Linked DNA regions of Drosophila melanogaster. The protein of the gene in region 1 interacts with the protein of each later gene in a pairwise test. Each region holds a gene or a part of one and is shown in the gene's direction. Other genes may lie near its edges.

Region 1 (4,312 bases):
AACGTGCCCAGAGGACCGCAACCCTATCGCCCGCACCACGGCAACCAGAGTCAGAACCCGAACTCCTGCGGCCACTGTCGATCGCAGAAGAAGCAGAAGAAGTGCGTCATTCAGTGATCTGGATGTCGTGCCACGGGAGAACGTTGGGATCCCAGCAGGCGCTACGCAGCAGGCTACACAGATTATAACGCTCACAACATGACATGACAGTACTCCCAAATTTCAGGTTAGCCAAATTTCCAGTTTCGACCTGTTTTCCGGGTCAATAAAGCCAATGTGACCGCTAATGGGTAAAGTAAAACAGGTGGTATGTGTGTGTTCCTTTAATACATCAGCGTCTCCTTCCGGACAGGGAACAGTCCGAGCGCCTACCAGGTGGGTCGGAGGCCAGCGCAGCTCAGCTCCGGGCAGGACATCTGCAACTGCCGCGGAAGCCAGCGGAATCCGGAGCGGAATCGCAGTCGCCACTGCTTCGTGATTCGCTCACAGCGGCCACCAAAGGGCGTGGCTGCGGAAACCCGGTGCTGCTGCACTCCTCAAGCGCCGATAAGCCGTAGTTTACCTCCGCCCACTAAGATCCGCCAGCGATGCTGCTGTGCCTTAGCTCCGGAGCCCGCAAGGCAAATGGTTTGCGACACCTCCGGGAACAAGCCGCAGAGATGCTGTACCAATTGCCCAGGAAACGGACATAGTGGAGCAGCTGCGCGGAGGACACGGGTGTATCATTCGGATCCATACCCCATCGGGTTAGGCGAGAATCGGAAAGTGGCTTTGGAGGAGCCAATTCTGCTGCAGCCGGACCCACATTCTGAGATTCCATGCAGCGACTCCTCGCGATCGTTTCAGCCCGCCGTTCACGCGATAAATGAAAACTGCCAGGAACCCCAGGATCCCTACTATCCGTATCCTCCCAGAAGCACGCGTCAGCGGGAAGTGGATCCTCTAGCCAACTTCGATCTGAATCGCTTCGACAGGGAAGCCATCCATCGAGGCCCCGCTGGCAGACGAAGAAACGTCTCCATTCGCACCTGCGTCGACTACGACTACGAGCCGGGATATCTAGCTCCAAGCAGTCCGCCCGGAAATCGACATCCACCAGCTCCATCCGGATATTCTCCGGCATACCCCCCTTCGTACGAACCTAATCCAGCCGGTTGTCCCGCGGCATCTTTGCCCAGAACTCGCCCACCAACCGCATCACTCCAGCGTCCATATTATCACAGAACTCATCCGGGATTACAAGGTTTGTATTTTCCAAGTTATCCAGGAGCAGGCGACTAATATTCCCTTTTTTTATTAAGAAAATACTGAATTCGATTACGTTAAATGTCCGTTTAGATGAAGGGCTAAAATATAACAAACCAATAGGTAAGTGTTTCATTTGATTATTATTTAACTATTTATAATTTAAATTTTATGGAATCAACTACTCTAATTGGATTAAATTATTTTAGGAAGACGTATAAATCAGATTTTAGTAGTTTAAACTTTAAAATATTCAAATAGTCTAACCTTTATACGAATTCCACCAATTTCAAATACTCGCGACACAGACGGCTATTCGATAAGTAATCACTTTTCCATTTGCCAGAAATGCAGCCCTGAAAGTTTGAGAAGCACTGGAAGTTCTGCGCACTGTGCTCCAGTGCTGAAAACCGCATGCAGCAGTGTGAAAGAAGAAGAAGACTGCGACGCGTGCAAAACACGCCGCACTTTACTATTTAATTTCGATTAAAACAATAGAAAAGCAGTGATGGATGATGCGGACTACGACAACGACGAGTAAGTGCAGGCGTAACACAATCAATAGCTGTGCCCATTAATCACCTACTTAACAATTGCAGCGTTGGCGGCGATGACTTCGACGACGTCGACGAGGACGTGGACGAGGACATTAACCAGGAGGAGGAGGCGGACAACATCGAGATCATAGCTCCCGGTGGTGCGGGCGGAGGCGGTGTGCCCAAGTCCAAGCGCATTACCACAAAGTACATGACGAAATACGAGCGCGCCAGAGTTCTGGGCACACGAGCGCTTCAGATCGCCATGTGCGCACCCATCATGGTGGAGCTGGACGGGGAAACGGACCCCCTGCAGATCGCCATGAAAGAGCTGAAACAAAAGAAAATTCCCATCATCATCCGCCGATACCTGCCGGATCACTCCTACGAGGACTGGAGCATCGACGAGCTCATCATGGTGGACAACTAGCTAGTACTCAACCCCTTTATCCATAATAAATCATACCGCCTAAGATTAAGCACAATCAATTTGGCTGCTGAATTCCCGGGGACTTAATGTAATGACGAACTGCAAGCGCTAATTGCTACACGATAGTTATCTTGTAAGCAATCCCTTTGCTTTAATATTATCTCTTAATACCGCTATAATCTGAAGTAGCCACAGATACTTGCTACCATGCGATTAGTACGAAAAACAATGACACCACGGGCTTGCTATTCTACTACAATATTTTATTTCACATAACAGACGTACAGATTAGGAAAACAAAGCTGCTCTAGTGTGAGGAGCACTTGGTGTCTAGCTCCAAGCATATCCCTCATCTCTTTGATAGCAAACGCGCTCTAAAAGACCTACGGCATGTTGGCCCGTGCGGCAGATGGAGCCAACTACTGCCGGCAGCAGACCACACTCCGAAAGATTCTGCTCGCCAAAGACCTGCCCGGCGGCATCTTCTCCTTCCGCATCTGACTGTGGCGTCTCCGGAGTTTCAAGCAGCTTTTGGGTGGCCTTGCTAAAGGCCAGCGTATTGATGCTGCTGGCCAGCGTGGAGCTAAACATCTGGCGCGTCTCGGACAGCAGCTCCGCCACACTGGGCAGGAATGTAGGTAGGATTAGGCCCTTAATGTCTATGCTAAAGTAGTCGACGCCATCCAGACGCACTTTCTTGGACCGCGGAACCAAGTGCTGCATGGTGGCCTTGGGGAAGGCCACTGGCGACAGCAGAGTGGGAGGCACTCCGGCCAGACGGCCCACTGTGCTGATGGCACTCTTGGCATTTAGCAGATAGCTAAAGAATCCCTGGCACTCCACGCCATCGACCAGCAGCAAGGAGTTGTCGCTAAAGTCCTCTCGCATTTCGGCAGCTTGTTGCTTCCTGGCATGGGAGGACTGGATACGTCGCAGCTCACGCTCATCCACGCCCAAGCTCTCCAGCCAGTCCTCGTCGTCGTCTTCATCTTCCTGTGCCGGCGGAGGAGCATCTTCGCCCGCTTCTGGACCTAGCGAGGTGGTAGTGCTCTCCTCGTTAAAACTGTTGTCGTGCGCGTTTCCACTGTTATCGCTCTTAAGAGGCATGCTGAACTCGATCCCCTCCTGTCGCAGAGCTTGCCGCATTCCCCGAGTCGACGGCGTGACCAAGGCGTGGCTCTCCGGCCGACCGCCAACTCCGGCAGCTCGGAACAGCACCGTAAAAGTGTTGGCACACAGGTAGAAGTACGGGCACTGGCGGGCACGCAGCAGCTGAAATAGGCCCCGGAAGCTGAAGTCCCACTCCTCGGCCAGGGCCTTGCGCTCCCGCTCACCCACCACCACGCCCACGTTCTCCTTGGCGGTGCGCGGGTAGAGCGTCAGCCAGGGCAGGTGCGGGTGCTGCCAGTAGTAATTGCATTGGTTGAACCGCGTTGCGTCCGAGATATCCAGCGTGCTCTCCGTTCGCTGCGGGTCCATGCAGCGCACGAAGCTGGTGAGTCCGCTGGCCAGCTGCGAGGTCTTCAGTTGGATGGCAGGCAGTTCCGTGGGACAGAAGAAACGGGCTCGCGTCTTCAGGGACCAGTCCACAGGTAGGTGGGCGGTGTGCTTCTGCCGGGCGGCCAACTCCGCATCGTCCTCGTCCTCAGCGTTGATTTGGGGATGCTGGAAGAGCTTGGCAAAGGCCTGCGGGTCGTACTTCTGGAGCACGAATTTGGCGGGCGCCGGGCGCGTGGGCGTTTCCCGCACAAAGCAGGAGGAGGCAGTGACCACTGGTTCGAGGTCCGCCAGTTGCGGATCAACGCGCAGTTTCTTGGCATCAGCTGTGGATCTGAGGCAGGGAGTCAGTAATTGGATTTTGGGGAGAGCGAGAGAGAGGGAAACTCACTTCGCAAACGGATTTTTTCGCTTCTGGGCGAGCTTAGCCTCCAGTAGCTTGCTTTTATCCGTCTCATCCACTTGGTGTCTTGGCCGCCTATTGTTGTTGTTGCTCACGCGGGCTGCCAATTTGTTCTTCTTCTGCTTGAGCCGCTGCAGTTTGATGAACTGGAAAACGAAACAACAACATTAGTGGCGGGCAGGTGCTCCTCCGAGTCCTTAC
Region 2 (4,681 bases), 380 kb from region 1:
AGGCAACCCTGCAGTCTACATGACTTTTTAGACAACTACATTAAGGACACATTCCTAACCAAAGGCCACAACCGCAACCTGCAGCTGACCATAGAGTCGCTGTCGAAGAATCAAGACGCATGGCGCACTATTATAAGTCCTGAGGAAATAAAGGCTCTTAATCTAAGCAGGCCGTTGCTGCAGTCTACTGTGATGGTCGAACGGAGGTTGATGGAAACTAAGAACCTCATTCAAGACTTGCCCTGCTACTCCGAAGACCTGCTTAAAATGGTGTGCGCGTTGTTGAAGGCCTATCGGGAAATATGTCAGGCGGCCTATCGCGGAATCGTGCAGCCAGATTCAGAGGATAAGAGAATTTACAGCGTGGCATGGCTTAAAGATGAAGATATCAGCAGGTTTTTAAAGTAAGTATAAAGGTATAAAAGCTACATGAATTTATAGTTTCTTCACTATTTAGAACGCTTCCCAACTGGACTGATTTAAAGACCTACAGTCAGAAGTCGCGCCACAACCGAAAACTGCATCGCGGAAGCTTTGAGCCGTCGGAGGAGGAGAGCCCGTTGCAGGTTCAGCAGCGCAACATCCGCGAGGCTGAAATGCTGACCAGTAATTTAGGCGAGGGTGGGATCACCCAACAAGAGATTTTGGTCGAGATCAGTGTGCTTAAGGAGCTGGCCATACTGCAGGAGAGCATGGAGTGGTTTTCGTGCCGAGTGTCGGAATTTGCCAACGACTTACGCCGGCCGTTGGTAAACGGACTTAACGCCGTTCCAGCTGAGTGCGGCGCCGACATTGCTGTGAAGGATGGGACGATCAAAGTGATGACTAATCTGGCTTTGGAGTTTGATGAGCTGGCGAACACCTGCCTGCTGGTATTGCATCTGGAGGTGCGCGTTCAATGCTTCCACTATCTGCGCTCGAAGTCGAGTGTAAGGACCAACAGCTATGTGGGCTCCAAGGATGATATCTTGGAGCCCGACCGCCAGGTGCAAGTTCTGACCAAACGACTGTCTGAGATGGATGAGGCGTTTAGTGCCACTCTACATCCGAGGAAGACCAGGGTAAGTTGAATATTCGTCTCCAGTTGCATTTTGCTCGAACGTATTCTTCTCTAGTACATTTTCGAGGGTCTGGCGCACTTGGCATCGCGCATTCTTATCCAGGCCTCCAATTATCTGGAGCACATAGATCAAATAACCGTGCAGCGCATGTGCAGGAACGCGATTGCCCTGCAGCAAACATTGAGTAACATAACTGCCTCCAGGGAAGTGGCTTTGGATCAGGCGAGACACTTCTATGAGCTGCTTTGCATGGAGCCAGACGTAAGAGTGATTGGCCCAAGTTTTGTAATTCACCTTTTTACTTAGAAACACTTTGCACTTACCCACAGGAAATACTCAATGCGTTGCTGGAGCGGGGCACTCAGTTCTCGGAAATGCAGCTGCTCAATGCCTTGCAGTTGTCCTGCAAGTCCTTCGGCATAACCGACGCCAATCTCCTCGCTTCCTATCAGCAGAAGCTGTCGGACATACTAGGCGCCAAGCCCTCGAAGGGAGTAGTTGTGTAGTTAGCGTGGCAGGCGGCGGGTAAAACCAATTTTAATATCCATACTTTTGTTTACATCGGCTGCAGGTGTAAGTGCAAATTGTATGTTAGTGTTAAGCTCAAAATAATTGCGAATGTTCTGAACATGATTGGCGAGCACTTAGTGTTGTAGCCGTTTGTAAAGATACATATTCTAAAGATCATTAACAGTACTTCAATGGCCTATACACAATAAATGAGAATTCAACAACGATGTTTTGACTGTATTAATTTGCTGCATCTAGTGTATCTAATTTTAACATTTTTTCAACTCAACCGGTTGCTAAACCGTTTCAGCAATGTTATTTAACAGGGTTTGAGTGCTCGCTAAATGGACTTACGAAATGAGTATGGAATTTTCGTGCAGCCCAGTCATGGTCACGCTGCCTCTCTGAAAAGCCGCAAGAAAATAAAAATAAATATATCTTTCTAGCTATTATTATTGTTGTTATTATTAACAAAAATGTCGGAAACAGTTGATAGCACAGAGGTAAAGTCGCCGTCGTACGACTTATCCAAGTTCCAACTGAAGCGAATCCTAACCAACAACAGCGTTAGGAAAAGTATATCCCTGCTTGGCACTTTTCCGGATTTAGGAACCGATGATGCCATTGTTGTTTTCGAGAAAAATGGTATAAAAGCGTAAATGAAAGCAACTAATGTTCGCTACAGTATAATCCTTACTAACCGCAGCGTACCGGGAAAGCGATGTGGCCACGGCGTCATCAGAAGAGTCTCCCAAGAAGCCTAGCTATTTTACCGCGGACCTGAAAGTTGACACTGAGTTTATCAACAATATCTACGGCAGTTTTCAGGTTGTGCCGACCCAGGATTTGTGCAGTAAATATTAGATTCATAATTCATACTGATAAATCATAGATTTTTATCATTCATTTCGCAGGTGTGAAAAGCACAGTCATTTATCCCGCCACCGAGAAGCACATCGAGAAATACTCAGTATCTCAAAAGTATCTCATCCGGGAGACTCCTGATCTCTACCAAAGAATAACTCTTCCATATCTCACCTCAAGTCAATTCTCCCTCGAGTGGGTCTACAACATACTCGAGCATAAGCAGGAGACGGAACGTATCGTGTACGAGGACAGGGATCCAAAGACTGGCTTTATCCTTCTGCCCGATCTCAAATGGGACGGACGCAATGTGGAAACCCTCTATCTGCTGGGAATTGTCCACAAGCGCGACATCAAGTCTCTGCGCGACTTGAATGAAAGTCATCTCGATCTTTTGCGCAACGTGCGCCAAGCGTCGAAGGACGCAATTGCCAAGCTATACGGCATTAATCCCAATCAGCTGCGCATGTACTTTCATTACCAGCCGTCCTTCTATCACCTCCACGTGCACATCAATCCAGTACGGAACGATGCACCGGGCATATGGTGCGAGAAGTCCCACATGCTGGACACGGTGATCAACAACTTGGAGCTGATGCCGGACTACTATCAGCGAGCCACCTTGCCGTTTGTCCTGTACGAAGGCAATAAGCTGTTGGATCTCTATGAGCAGGAGCTACCCATTAGAGCGCTGACAGTATCGAGCGACGATAAGGAGCTCCCTGACTCAGACTCTTTGAACGTCGCTCCACCGGAAGGCTTTAGCGATGAGGAGCCGGAGGAGAGGCAGTGCAAGCGCATAAAGTTGGGCTCGCCGGAGCCCAAGGAGGCCGAGTCCGCTGTTCAGGCGTGTGCCTAAACTGGTATTACTTAATGAGAAAGCTAACCCTAGATGTTGCCTATCAAAAATACATCCTACTTATGATCATTCAATTCAAAATAAAGTTATTTTCAAAAATTTCGTTTGAGAGCACTTGCTGGAAGTACACATTATTAATTGTTATAAAATATTCAGAATATTTCTTTTCGTTTCACACATTTAAAAACAGTCGCTTAAGAGAAAACGATTGAATTCTGAGTACCTCGTGAATAGTTGTGATGCCTCACTGCTTTGACATCATTGTAATGGGGTTCGCAAATAAGAATCATATATACACTATTTAACTTCATTTATTTTTTCATATACAAAAATCACGTCTGATCGCTATGACCGCAAAATTACAAGAGCGAAAGAAAGAATACAGTTCAGTTCAATTAGCATCGATATATAAAATGTTAATCCGCTGTTAAGACAGCTGAAGCACCGGGTGACTCCGCTCATAATCCGTACATGCCGCCCGCCAATGCGTCGTCCAGCATGAAGGCTCCTTGTGATTCTTGATCCGTGTGTTGATCATAATTATGTTGAAATCGGAAGTGGACAAAGCTTTGTGATTGACCTCTTTTGAATGCCAGATTTCGTCTTTAATGTAACCACTCTGACTAGCGAGTCCGATCCAGGGTGCAGTTCGACGACTCGGCCTATAGTCCATTTAGCTGGTGGTAGATTATCATCCTTTATAATGACTAAGTCGTTGATGTTAAGATTATCTTTGATTTGGCACCACTTTGGCCGAGTTTGCAAGTGTGATAACCAATCACGAGACCATTGAGACCAGAATTGTCGCGTCATGTGTTGTTGTGCGAGAAATAGTTCACGCAAAGGCTTATTATTCGGCCGACCTTGTGGCGGTGCCAGTAGTGCGTCACCAATTAAGAAATGTGCTGGAGTTAGTACTTCTAAATCGTCAGGGTCGGCGGTTAGCGGGCAAAGTGGACGTGAGTTCAAACATGCTTCAATCCTGATCAAAACTGTAGTAAGCTCCTCATACGTCTGCTTGTGGCTGCCGACGATCCGTTTAAGATGATGCTTCATTGCTTTCACGTTTGCCTCCCAGATGCCACCAAAATTGGGAGAATATGGAGGTGTGAAATGCCACCTTGTCCCATGTTGACATGTCGATTCGTTTAGGGCTGCCTTGCAAGTGATGGGCTGGTTAAGCGATGTACTCGCGCCAACAAAATTTGTGCCGTTATCACTATACATATGTTGAACTTGTCCTCGACGTCCGGTGAATCGCGTAAATGCTTGCAGGAAGTGCTCTGTTGAAAGTCCAGTGACGGCTTCCAAGTGGACCGCCTTGGTTGCTAAGCATATAAAAATGGCTACATAGCCTTTGTAGGTGGTTGATCCTCGTACACGCGCG

The links. The genes of interacting proteins can lie anywhere in the genome.
Region 2: the proteins of Polr2F (region 1) and Dcps interact in a two-hybrid assay, tested with the Drosophila melanogaster proteins (one large-scale study listed by BioGRID).

What each region holds. Positions count from the first base shown.
Region 1 is NT_033777.3:5,370,134-5,374,445, forward strand, and holds Polr2F (RNA polymerase II, I and III subunit F), read left to right. Parts: upstream 1-1,661; 5' UTR 1,662-1,753; coding exon 1,754-1,782; intron 1,783-1,844; coding exon 1,845-2,211; 3' UTR 2,212-2,264; downstream 2,265-4,312. Other genes in the region: CG31542 (uncharacterized protein), read left to right, coding at 1-117; CG34277 (uncharacterized protein), read left to right, coding at 287-290, 353-1,243, 1,302-1,342; hd (humpty dumpty), read right to left, coding at 2,542-4,042, 4,100-4,257. UniProt on the Drosophila melanogaster protein: DNA-dependent RNA polymerases catalyze the transcription of DNA into RNA using the four ribonucleoside triphosphates as substrates.
Region 2 is NT_033777.3:5,752,044-5,756,724, reverse strand, and holds Dcps (decapping enzyme, scavenger), read left to right. Parts: upstream 1-1,950; 5' UTR 1,951-2,047; coding exon 2,048-2,216; intron 2,217-2,277; coding exon 2,278-2,424; intron 2,425-2,485; coding exon 2,486-3,294; 3' UTR 3,295-3,407; downstream 3,408-4,681. Other genes in the region: Sec8 (secretory 8), read left to right, coding at 3-404, 458-1,061, 1,116-1,322, 1,391-1,567.